Coturnix japonica: one gene and its partners. The main gene of each other region encodes a partner of the protein of the gene in region 2 in a complex. Links are inferred from orthologs where the notes say so. Each region holds a gene or a part of one and is shown on either strand. Other genes may lie near its edges. The genes, in order: RBM48, ARMC7 and CRIPT.

Region 1 (3,749 bases), on a different chromosome or scaffold from region 2:
TTTTATGCCACTGTTAGTTCTAATACATAAAGTGTTCAATACAGTGACAGAAATAATACCAGCAATACTTCATTCCCAGTCACCTTCCTGTGATTCTGCTTAAGCAGCACCTGCAGTGGATAATGATATCCAAGTACATAAGCATAGGAAAGGAGAAGCCTGTGCCTGGCATTGTACTTATTTTACAGCTTGTCCAGCCTTCAGCGCTGCCTGGGAACTCAGCAGCAAAGCTGCCTGTCAGCCCAATCCATTCCTCGTGTTCCTTACTGACCCAAATGACAGGCAGGAAATAAGGGGCAGGGAGGGGGCTCTCTTACTAATCTCTCTTTTTGGGTATGCCTGAAAGAACTGTAACAAGGGGAACAAACTGATCCTCAGTTTCCTGGCAGTACTTAAAATTTCAGGTAACGTTTTGAAAAGAAATGAAGGAAACAATGAGGTTTAAAAGCTTTAAAGTGCATGTTAACTAAAACGTTGCTTTCTGAAAGGTCCATCTCTAGGAATAACTGAGAAATGTCCTAATGTAAAACAGCTAAACACAGTATATTTTCATCAATGGATGCTTTTGGCTTTACCAAGACGTACCAACCACTGGAATTAAAACTGGACATGAGATTTAACTACAAACCTCTTTGATTTGTTGCTTTTGCAATATACTTCCTTCTGTCCTGCAGCTTCTCCCTGGTTTCTTGGACTGTTTCAAATTCTGGAGCGTAGCACACGTGCAGCAAACTCCCAAAGAAACTGCGCTCATCCATCTTCTTCTTGGCCACCCTGAAGGAAACTAAATGGCATTAGCAGAGCTGAGGGTTTTACTTCAACTCTGTATGATGTAGATCATACATAAAGGGGCCGTGAAGGATTAAAACAACAAAAGGCAGATAGTGCTGTGTATAATACCTGGCACATTGCAGATTCTGGAATTTTATCAGATAAACTTCAGTGAACTGCTCTGCGGGATATTCATCAAGTGCATGGTACTCTTCTATGGCTCCGTACAAGGCAAACTGCTCCACTAACTCCTTCATGACGCCCAGCGCAGGAACTCCCTGGATTAGTAAATAACGCGATTCCAAGTTGATGGTGTACACCTGAAAGAAGCACAGGACAATCACAGAATTGTAGGGGTTGGAAGGGACCTCTAGAGATCATCAGTCCAACCCCCTGCCAAAGCAGGCTCCCTACACCATGTCACACAGGTAGGCGTCCAGGCGGGTCTTCAATATCTCCAGAGAAGGAGACTCCACCACCTCCCTGGGCAGCCTGTTCCAGTGCTCCGTCACCCTCACTGTAAAGAAGTTCTTCCACACATTAATGCAGAACTTCCTATGCTGTAGTTTCATCCCATTACCCCTAGTCCTGTCCCCACGCACTACTGAAAAGAGACCAGCCTCACCACTATGGCTTCCCCACCTCAGGTATTTATAAACCTGGATCAAGTCCCCTCTCAGCCTTCTTTTCTCAAGGCTAAACAGACCCACTTCCCTAAGTCTCTCCTCATAGGGGAGATGCTGTTCAATGCTCTAAAATGCCCACGTTTACCTCACTGCGAAAACAACAACTCAAAGCGTTCGTGCTGCCCGCTGTGTGGAGCCACCGCGGGCAGGGATGAACTCAAGCAGGGATGAACACATCACAGAACATCAGCTGGAGCTGATGCTTCTCCAGATGTCAGAGCACCGACACCTGCGGACTAAACAAGTCTCCAGCAGCCCACCCGCCCTCACCCCGCACCTTGACGGCCCTGGGTCGCCGCCCCTCGCGGTACTTGGCCCTGGACCCGCATGCTCCCAGCTGCTGGTGGTGCCTACACGCCTCCCCCGGCCCGCCAGCACCGCCCGCCGCCATCTTCCCGGCCGCCACCGCGGCTCCGGTCGGCTCTTCCGGGAAGGAAGTGGGCGCTGCCGAGAAGCCGGGCGGAACGAGCAACTACAGCCCGGCCCACCCGGCTGGCGGCATGTGGGGCAGCGGTAACCCCGGCGGAGGGGCCGCTGGAGTCGCCGCGGTGACGGTGGTGCTGAGCGGGACCCGGGACTGCTTCCTTCACCTGCCCGCCGTGCTGGCCTCGCACCTCCGCCTGCAGCAGGTACGGGGACGAGATGGGGGCGGCCCGTTCGGAGGGGATTGTGGGAGAGAGGTTCTCCTTCCTCCCCCCATCGTATCCCGTCATCATGGCGGTGCTCAGAGCCCTCCTCGAGAGGACGCACAGTCACCACAGCGACAGCGCAGGGCAACCAGCCGCCCCCCGCACTGTCGCTGTGGTGACTGTGCATCCTCCGAACGGGCCGGGACCCCTCGCCCCTGGACCCAGATGGGTCTGAGTATTTCTGAGTATGATTTGATAGTAATTCGTTTCATCTGCCTGATAATCACAGGGCCAAGCTGTCAAAGTATCCTGCCGTGATGAGCCCATCTACCTGAGCTGGATGGAAATGAGGCATCGAGGTCAGCGGGGTGAAAATATCGCAGAGATGAACAGGCATTTAGCAGAGAAGCTTGGCATTGCAGATGGAGAACAGGTTTGAAATGCAGGTCCCTTTTTTGAGTTTCTGAGTAGAGGTTTTATGTGTTTAAGGAGTTAAATTATTCAGAAATAATGTTGCTTCTATCAGGTGTTCGTGGAGCCCTGTTCACACGTCTCCTCCTGTCAGCAAGTAGAAGTGGAACCGCTCTCAGCAGATGATTGGGAAATACTGGTAAGAAAACCTGTCCCACTGTTCACATCATTTTCATGCAAATGACAGAGAATGTTGATACAAGCTTTTGTCGCAATCCCCCGTTCTTTTCTGCTCCTAAGCAAATGCTAAGTCTTGTGGGTTTTCATTGTATTTTATGTTTCAAATGGTGTATTAGAAAAAGATGTGAATCTTCTATGTTCAAACACATTTTAAAGGTTGTACAAGTGTGTAGCTTACAATGATACCACACTTTCCCAGGAACTGCACGCTTCCTCTCTTGAAAAGCATCTTCTGGACCAGATCCGAATCGTATTCCCCAAAGCCATCTTTCCTGTTTGGGTTGAACACCACACTCACGTTTACATCAGAATTGGTAAGCAGCAGTGAATGCTTTGCTGGTGCCTTGAGTAAGCTGTTTTGCAAGAGTGGATGCATTCATTCATCTGATTTATCCATACTCAGGTACACTTATGCCAGCAGCCCCCTATGGGAGATTAGAACCTTGCACGGAGCTTCTGATCTGCCCCAAAGCGCGTGAGCTTGAGGAAAACGTCGTAGACATGCCTTCTACAGAAGGTGACATCTTACTCAAGAGCTTTGTGAAGAATAGCATGGAGCAAGACGTAACTGTAAAGGAGCCTTTTGCCAGTCAACCTCACTTAAACCCAGGAGTCCCTGAACAGAGTAAGGCTGATGCAAATGTGACGTTTGGCTCAAGTGTTCTCCCAAATATGTGGAATTTCATAGGGAGCATTTTCTCTCGTACAGCTGAACAGAAACAAAAGACTCTGTGTGATAAGGATGAAATGAGCGCCTTCAAAGACAAGCTGCTGAACTTAATTCACATGGATTCCATTTTTAGAGTATGCCAGTCCCAGCCTCCCAGCGTACAGAACGCATCAGCTGTTCATGCATTTCTGAAACACGGTGCCATTCATGTTTTTCCACAGAATTTAGAATATACTGATTTGGATCCAAATGCTGTAGTAACTTATGGGAAAATTAACGGGCTGCTTTCCCCCAGACAGCGTCATCAAGAAGCAAAGCAAAATCTGCCATCTGAAAAGCAAA
Region 2 (3,358 bases):
CCACATCACCCGCACAAACAGCCTGAGCCAGCACTGCTGCCAAGAGATGGTTGTGTACGACCAGGAAAACTTCCTGCAGCATTGCAGCACACGGTGATGATCAGATGCACTCAGTCATGTAAGCAGCACGAGCACAGCCTGCAGCCCTTACAGAACATCTCTGCAGACCACAGACCTGGGAATGTTACCAAACTCTATGGGACAGCTCAAATTAAATGCACAATGTTCCTCACATCCGTTAACCAGCCTGGATTAGACTCAAAACAAGATAGAATCTAGAAGCAGCAGAGCACGCAGCTCGCAGTGAGGTGAGCAGCAGCGCTGCAGTGTGACCCGCAGGGTGCAGCTCTCGGGGATGCACCACCCGACCAGCACGGGCTGTTCCTAAACGCTGCTCGCAGTGAAATCACTGCAGGGGACAAAGTTCCCATTGGTTTTGTGCTTGCAAAATCCTACTGACTGCCCACACACACACACGGTACCTGGGAACTCAGCGCTGCATTTTCCTCCTCCAATGCAACGCGCTCCTCCCCTTATTGCTCAGTCCCACTGTCCTCAAACACTTCTGTCGGTTTGCTTCTCCTTGTTTGCTTTCTCTTCTCTGCCCTTCTCACACCAGCCCCGCTCTGGTCCATATTAGTAATGACAGATGTCGCTTCAAGTGCACTAACACAGTTACAGGCACGAGAAGCACACGCGGGGGTGTAAATTCTGAGGCCTGGGGGGCAAGCAACCAGGTGGCAGGGAAAGGTGAAGAACTGTGCAGAACAAAGGGGGGAAACGATAAAAACACGTGTTTGCCAGATACAGAGTGCAGCAGTGATATGTGCCTTCACTTATTGACGCACATGAGCTGCCCACAGCCCGCCCCGCACGCGGAGCGCAGCCAGCAGCCGCACCGCCCACAACATGGCGGCCGGGGAGTAACGCCCACAACATGGCGGCCGCCGGTGTCCGGAGCGCCCCGTTGTGCCCCGTGCCGGCGGCGCGGTCCAGCTGATCGGCTGGTTCTGGTTCTCAGCTCGGGATGGAGCTGGGCAGGTTGGAGTACCTGCAGGCCCTCGTCACGGAGTTCCAGGTGACAGACAGCCCAGGTAACCCCGCGTACAAAAGCGAAATCTCCATCTACCACAGCCCCCCTTGCCCCGTTTGACGCGTTGCTTCCCCGGCAGAGGCCAGGCGGCAGGTGCTGGCCAACCTGGCCAACTTCGCCTACGACCCCAAGAACTACGAGTATCTGCGGCAGCTCCAGGTGCTGGACCTGTTCCTCGACATGCTGACGGAGGACGACGAGACCCTGGTGGAATTCGCTATGGGTGAGCACAGCGCTGGGTGCGCCCCGATGCTTTCCCTGTTTCTCTAAAACACAGGTAACAAACCGGGGAAAATGAAAATAAACGCTGCAGCCACACGGCGCCATAAATGCCATCACTGCACTGAGATGGACAGGAGAAAATAAAAGGCAACGTAGGGCAATTAAAAACCCATCATTTAATTCCTGGTACCTTGAAGACCGATTGCCCCCTTACCACACAGGGAAACTGTCTGTGCATGTTGCCTTAAGAAAAGTAGTAAAGATGGAGTGTCCGTCTGCGGACAACTCAGTGCCGGCACCACACAGGTCAGGGCCCAACTGCTGGTACCAACAGACGGAACGTGCTCCAGCTGCTGCCATTCATTCCCAGATGAGGTGCCCTTCAGAGCATGGAGTGTGTCCGGATGAGGCTGCAGAAAGAATCTGTCTTGCATGTGTCAGATGCTTTTTTCGCTATTTCAGGTGGTCTTTGCAACCTGTGCTTGGATAAAACTAACAAAGACTATATCCTGGAGGCCAATGGGGTAGAGCCCATAATAAACTGCCTCTCCAGCTCCAACGAAGAGACAGTCATGTCAGCAGTCACAGCCCTGATGTATCTGACAACGCCGCAGTCGTGCCAGCAGACCACAGCTCTCCCGGTGGTGGAATGCATGCTTCGCTTCTCCCTGTCGGCCAGCAGAAGGCTGAGCAATCTGGCCACGATCTTCCTGGAGGATTATTGCACGCCCCTGCAGGTGGAAGAGGCCAGGAACCTGAGCAAACACACAGCGGTGGGGATTCCTCTCCCGAAGGATTGAAGCTGTCAGAGCAGCTTGGAGCTGCTGCGAGGAGCACCCCCTGTTTGCTCAGGTCTGCACCTAATGCTGAGTAGGTCAAGAGTGTGATGAGAACAGTAAAGCAGGAAATCAGACTAGCATTGGATTTTAGTTAGTATTGAAAAGGACCATACAGCACTATAACAGGCCAAGAACGTGGCTGAAAATGGAAGCAAATATTTTAAATAAAAAAGGTGATGGCTGCTGTGCAGCTCTGAACCAGCTTACAGGTATAACCCTTATAGCAGTTACTTTCTCTGCTCGGGTTATTGTTCAGCTTGTATCACTTCCAGTTCCTGGCTGATTTTGCCACAGCTTTCCAGTGTCAACTCAGATGACTTTGAAATGACCCAAACTTCATCCCTCCTGCAGAAGAAATGCGTTTCCCTGCCCTGGTAATTTGCAATCCTATTACATACCTTTGGTACTATACATACTGTCTTATCATCCTGCCCTAGAACAGGTGATAGCTATCCCATAGGTCAGGAAGCAGAAAGCTGTATTTCCCTCATTACCACTGGTGAGAAAGGTGCAGGTAGGAAAAGGGTTTATGGCATTCAGGTTCACAAGAAAAGCCTTTTCTTAATAAAACATTAACGGAGCTGTTGTGTAAACAGTTCTGTGTAAGCTCGTAAATGTTCCTGTACAGCTCTTGCAGCGCAGCCTCTGCTGCTCCCACTAATGCACGTGGGCTGGGAGTTGGAGCCACTTTGCTCTCCTTTTATGATCAGCCAATCGTGCAAAAGGTAACCTGGAGCCAGGGCGGCAAACTGCCCAAAGGCATAGAACGGGGTGGCCCTTTACCACGGTGCTTCTGAAAGGCTGCGAGTTCCAGAGTTCTGCTTTCTCCCCCTCCACTCAGCTCAAAACACGCCATAGTGAGCTTACACCACAGCTGGCTGTTTGTCTTTATAGTTATTCTTCATAACATCACTGCGGCTCCGGCCGCACCAGGACGAGGCACCGTGAGGTGAACCCCGCAACCCCCGCATGAAGCCGAGCGGCCCCTGGCGGCACCACGGCCCCGAGTGGAACCTCCGGCCACAAGCGGGTGGAACTGCCGGCCTGGCCTTAGTGCGGGGCCAGGCGGCTCCGCTGTGCGCTGCGGGAACCTTCATCGGACGGCTGGGCGCGCTCCAACTGCACTCAGTGTTTAGGAGCTGTAGCCTGCTCCGCTGCTCGCTTCTTTCATAAAGCAGATGTTGGACACTTCACACGGAGGCAG
Region 3 (3,749 bases), on a different chromosome or scaffold from region 2:
GTAGAACAATTAACATTATTCCATAAACAAAAATCACTACCAGTTAGCTGTGACTCTACATCTAACAATTCATCCAGCCCATGTCTGCGTGCTGAGTGAATTCTTCAATAGTAAGAAGGTAACCGAGTTCATGTTGCACTATTTTCCCCCCATGGATTACAAGTTTGAGCCATTTTGCTTGCCCCCTGAAATTCACAAGACTGATAAAATTTTATATTCTCCAGTAGAGATTTCATAAGGGTTCTGAGTCCCTGTTATTACAATGTTTGACCACCCTCATGGTGAAAATTATTTTATTCACATGGAATTAAAGAATTCTGCACTCTTCTCCATCACTGTGCACTGTGATGGGGGCTCAGTGCACCTTCTATACCTTCCTATTATTAGCTGAAGACAGTAACTGAATCTCATCACAGCCTTCTCTTTTCCTCACAGAACAAAATCAAAGACTTCTACTTGGTCTCTAATTCCAAATCAAAGCGGGGTAATAAAGTTCTCAGTGAAACTCACCTTTTTTATAGGCACATCCTTGGCAATAGTGAGACCCTGGCTGATGGACAGAACTCTTACAAATTCGACATATTGCAAATTTGTTCTTTCCATAAGGATCAAACCTGGAAAAATGGAGAAGTACTTTGTTTATGCACAGTGAAATAAAGTAATTCCTTCATCTCATACTAAAAATGCTATGCGAGAGGAAATAGACAAAAACTCCAGCAAAAACTGCAATCAAAAACAGGGACATAAAGAGGTCAACTCTAATAGACTACAGAATTTCTACAAAAAACCTCCCATTTTCTCCATTAAGAGAGGTTTCTTGTGTTATAGAAATTAAATTAATAAATGATGAACTAAAACCACACATTGTTCTTAAGATACAAGCCTATTTCAAAGTCAAAATACATTTCAACAATGGCTTGCCCCTGGCATAACAGAATATCCTTTAGACATTAAGGAGATGCTCAAGCGTTTGAACAGGTAATGTTAGCATGGAAGATCACAGAATCATGTGAGTTGGAAGGGACCTTTAAATGTCATCTAGTCCAACTCTCCTGCAACAAACAGAGACAAACAGCCTTTTCAGCCCCTCTCTTAACACAAACAGCAATTCCTACCAATTTTAGGGATGCCCACAGCAATACAGCTGCCCATGCTCTGTAATTCCACAGAAAGCCCCAATGAAATACATAAATACACACTGCCACCAAGGATTAACATGTTAAAAGAAATGAATAAATTAAGTTGTATTTTGGACAAGTTTTGAGGAATTACCCTGCTTTGTGAGAATGCAAGGTCTCAGTTACAGAAAATTGAATTATTTTTTAAGCTGAAATGAGGATTAAATACTAACCTTGCTTTCTTTGAGGTCAACGCCTTGTTTTCATTCAGCTTACGGCCACCGCTTTCTATAAAAAAAATACAACCACAAGGCAATGCATTTCACAGTCCAGCTTCCAACTGCCACATGTGGGCATGTGTGATCAGAGCAAAGTGAAGCATGAAGCACATAGCATGGGCAGGCCCTGCATATCATCCTTCCACATGAGGGGAAAGATCATAATGTAAACATAGAAAGTGTTGGGTTGGAAGGGACCCCCCAGGGATGGTTAAGTTCCAGCACCCTGCCACAGGCAGGGCCACCAACCTCCAGATCTGGTACTAAACCAAGTTTCCTGGGGCTCCATCCAACCTGGTCTTCACCACCTCCACAGCCTCTCTGGGCAGTCTCCCCAGCACCTCACCACTCTGTGTGAAGAGCTTCCCCTAACATCCATCTAAACCTTCCCTCTTTGAGCTTAAAACCATTACCTCTCATTCTATCATTACCTATTCAAGTAAAAAGTTGATTCTCCCCCCCCCCCCCCCCCCCGGTAATGATCCCATTTTAAATACGGAAGGCTGCAATGAGATGGACAAATTCAACGCCAAAAAGCTCGAGGTAAACAACCCTTCACTGCACTCAATGGAAACTACAGCAGTGAAGGGCCAACCCGGTAACTCCAGCAGGCTTTGGGGCTGCCCCCCGAACCCTCCGGACGACCCGCAGGGAACACCCAGCGACCGACACTACCTGTGGTGTTTCTCGCCCCATCCTTCCACGTATCAGGAGTGATCACGGTGCCCAGCTTCCTCTCACCTACGGAAAGAAACACCACGAAATAAACGATTAGAATTGCGCTGCCCTCAGACCCCGCTTAGTGCCGGGATCCCCCCAATCCCACCCTACTCACACTTCTCGCACACCATGGCCGCCCAGCACAACAACCGCCGCTTCCGGACCCGCCCCGGAGCTGACGCCATCCCGTTGCCGGGCGGCCGGCGTCCCGGGTACGGGCCAGGTGGGCCCCGCACGTTGTTAGGCCGCCCCGCGGGGCGAGCCTGACCTAGGACGTTGTGCGAGCGTGAGGGTCGTTAATCTACCACTAAAAAGCCCTTTTCTCCCCCAGAACGCCCTCATTGCCCCGCTGGTGCGGCTGAGTCCCGCTGACCGAGTGCCGCTCGCTGTGTTGCAGGTGGCCGGCGGCACGGCGCCATGAAGGAGGCAGAGCTGAGGAGGCTGCTGGCTGCCAACCTGCTCTGCTTCGTCTCCATCGTCCTGACCGCACTCGTACCGGCCTTGTTCCTGGATGGGTTCTCGGTTTTGGGCACTCACCTCACGTGGCTGTGTGTTTGTTCTGTCTGTGTTAGCGTCCTTAACGTAACCTTGTGTTTAATCCTAAAGCCAAGTCCGTCTTCTAAGAGAAGCTCGCTGTCTAACAAGGTAAGATTTGTTTCTTTCTTAGATTCCTATCGAGTGATGTGGAGAGGATGCTAAGCCTGTCACTGAAATGATGTGATGAGAAAGAAGTTACAACTTCTGGTGGTGAATTCTTGTTTTCCATGAGTTGCAGAGCTTAACTCTGTCTGCACCTGCCAGCAGCCCTCTGGGCTGAGCATCCCTGACACTTCTTGCCCATGGGGTTGTGATTTGTAGTCACAAGTCTATCACTGACTGCATGCTGGTAGGAATTGGGGCACACCAGAGTGGGCACGAAATTCACTTTGCAGTCTAGGCCTGACCTTCGTTATTGCAGAGTATTGCTTTGTTCTTTGTGTAGGAACTGAGATGTAAAATTGGGAACAGCTCATTACTACTAAAACTTGATGAGGCAGTGGCACAGCTGCCCAGAGAAGCTGTGGTGCCCCATCCCCAGAGGTGTTAAGGCCAGGTTGGATGGGGGTCTGGGCAGCCTGAGCTGGTGGTGGCCAGCCCTGCTCATGGCAGGGGGTTGGAAATGGGTGGGCTTTGAGGCCCCCACCAACTGAAGCCATTGTGACTCACTGAAAGTTGGTAAACTATAAAAAGTGAAGTTGAAAAGTGTCAGAACAATTGCATTTCATTGAATGACTAAATCTGCAGAAATTAAATCTGGGAGATTTCTTTGTAGTTACAGTTTGTAATAGGACCATTGAGGGTGTGGATCCTAATTTAACAGGTTAGAGGAGTAAAACATAGCTGGGTCAGGAGTGGTAGAATACAATTTGAAGTCAGCTTAGTCGTGCAACCCCACCAGCTGTGTCAGACAGTGCTCTTACAGTGATTCTTAAAAGAGTTAAGCAGTCATCCAAGAAAGTAGTATCTTTGTATGTAAAACTGTTAATTGCTGACAGAGGGGATATAAAATACATGAAAACATCATGGAAAACAAGTCTTTTAACCATCTGTGATTTGAAAATGAAGTAGGCTTATGTGTTCTAGGTGAGGTTTC

The links.
Region 1: ARMC7 (region 2) and RBM48 share a complex: the UniProt entries of both Homo sapiens proteins name them as parts of the minor spliceosome. The link is inferred for Coturnix japonica from reciprocal best matches to the Homo sapiens genes ARMC7 and RBM48.
Region 3: ARMC7 (region 2) and CRIPT share a complex: the UniProt entries of both Homo sapiens proteins name them as parts of the minor spliceosome. The link is inferred for Coturnix japonica from reciprocal best matches to the Homo sapiens genes ARMC7 and CRIPT.

Annotation. Positions count from the first base shown.
Region 1 is NC_029517.1:20,668,857-20,672,605, reverse strand, and holds the start of RBM48 (RNA-binding protein 48), read right to left. Parts: upstream 2,376-3,749; 5' UTR 2,174-2,375; coding exon 2,048-2,173; coding exon of another isoform or gene 1,958-2,047; exon of another isoform or gene 1,936-1,957; intron 1,878-1,935; exon of another isoform or gene 1,849-1,877; coding exon of another isoform or gene 1,735-1,848; intron 1,092-1,734; coding exon 901-1,091; intron 775-900; coding exon 629-774; intron 1-628. Other genes in the region: PEX1 (peroxisome biogenesis factor 1), read left to right, coding at 1,958-2,086, 2,376-2,519, 2,613-2,696, 2,937-3,051, 3,141-3,749. UniProt on the Homo sapiens protein: As a component of the minor spliceosome, involved in the splicing of U12-type introns in pre-mRNAs.
Region 2 is NC_029533.1:9,331,151-9,334,508, forward strand, and holds ARMC7 (armadillo repeat-containing protein 7), read left to right. Parts: upstream 1-904; 5' UTR 905-1,027; coding exon 1,028-1,094; intron 1,095-1,172; coding exon 1,173-1,316; intron 1,317-1,777; coding exon 1,778-2,115; 3' UTR 2,116-2,747; downstream 2,748-3,358. UniProt on the Homo sapiens protein: As a component of the minor spliceosome, involved in the splicing of U12-type introns in pre-mRNAs.
Region 3 is NC_029518.1:23,889,980-23,893,728, reverse strand, and holds the start of CRIPT (cysteine-rich PDZ-binding protein), read right to left. Parts: upstream 2,335-3,749; 5' UTR 2,302-2,334; coding exon 2,232-2,301; intron 2,138-2,231; coding exon 2,072-2,137; intron 1,407-2,071; coding exon 1,352-1,406; intron 615-1,351; coding exon 511-614; intron 1-510. Other genes in the region: PIGF (phosphatidylinositol-glycan biosynthesis class F protein), read left to right, coding at 2,534-2,761. UniProt on the Homo sapiens protein: As a component of the minor spliceosome, involved in the splicing of U12-type introns in pre-mRNAs. Involved in the cytoskeletal anchoring of DLG4 in excitatory synapses.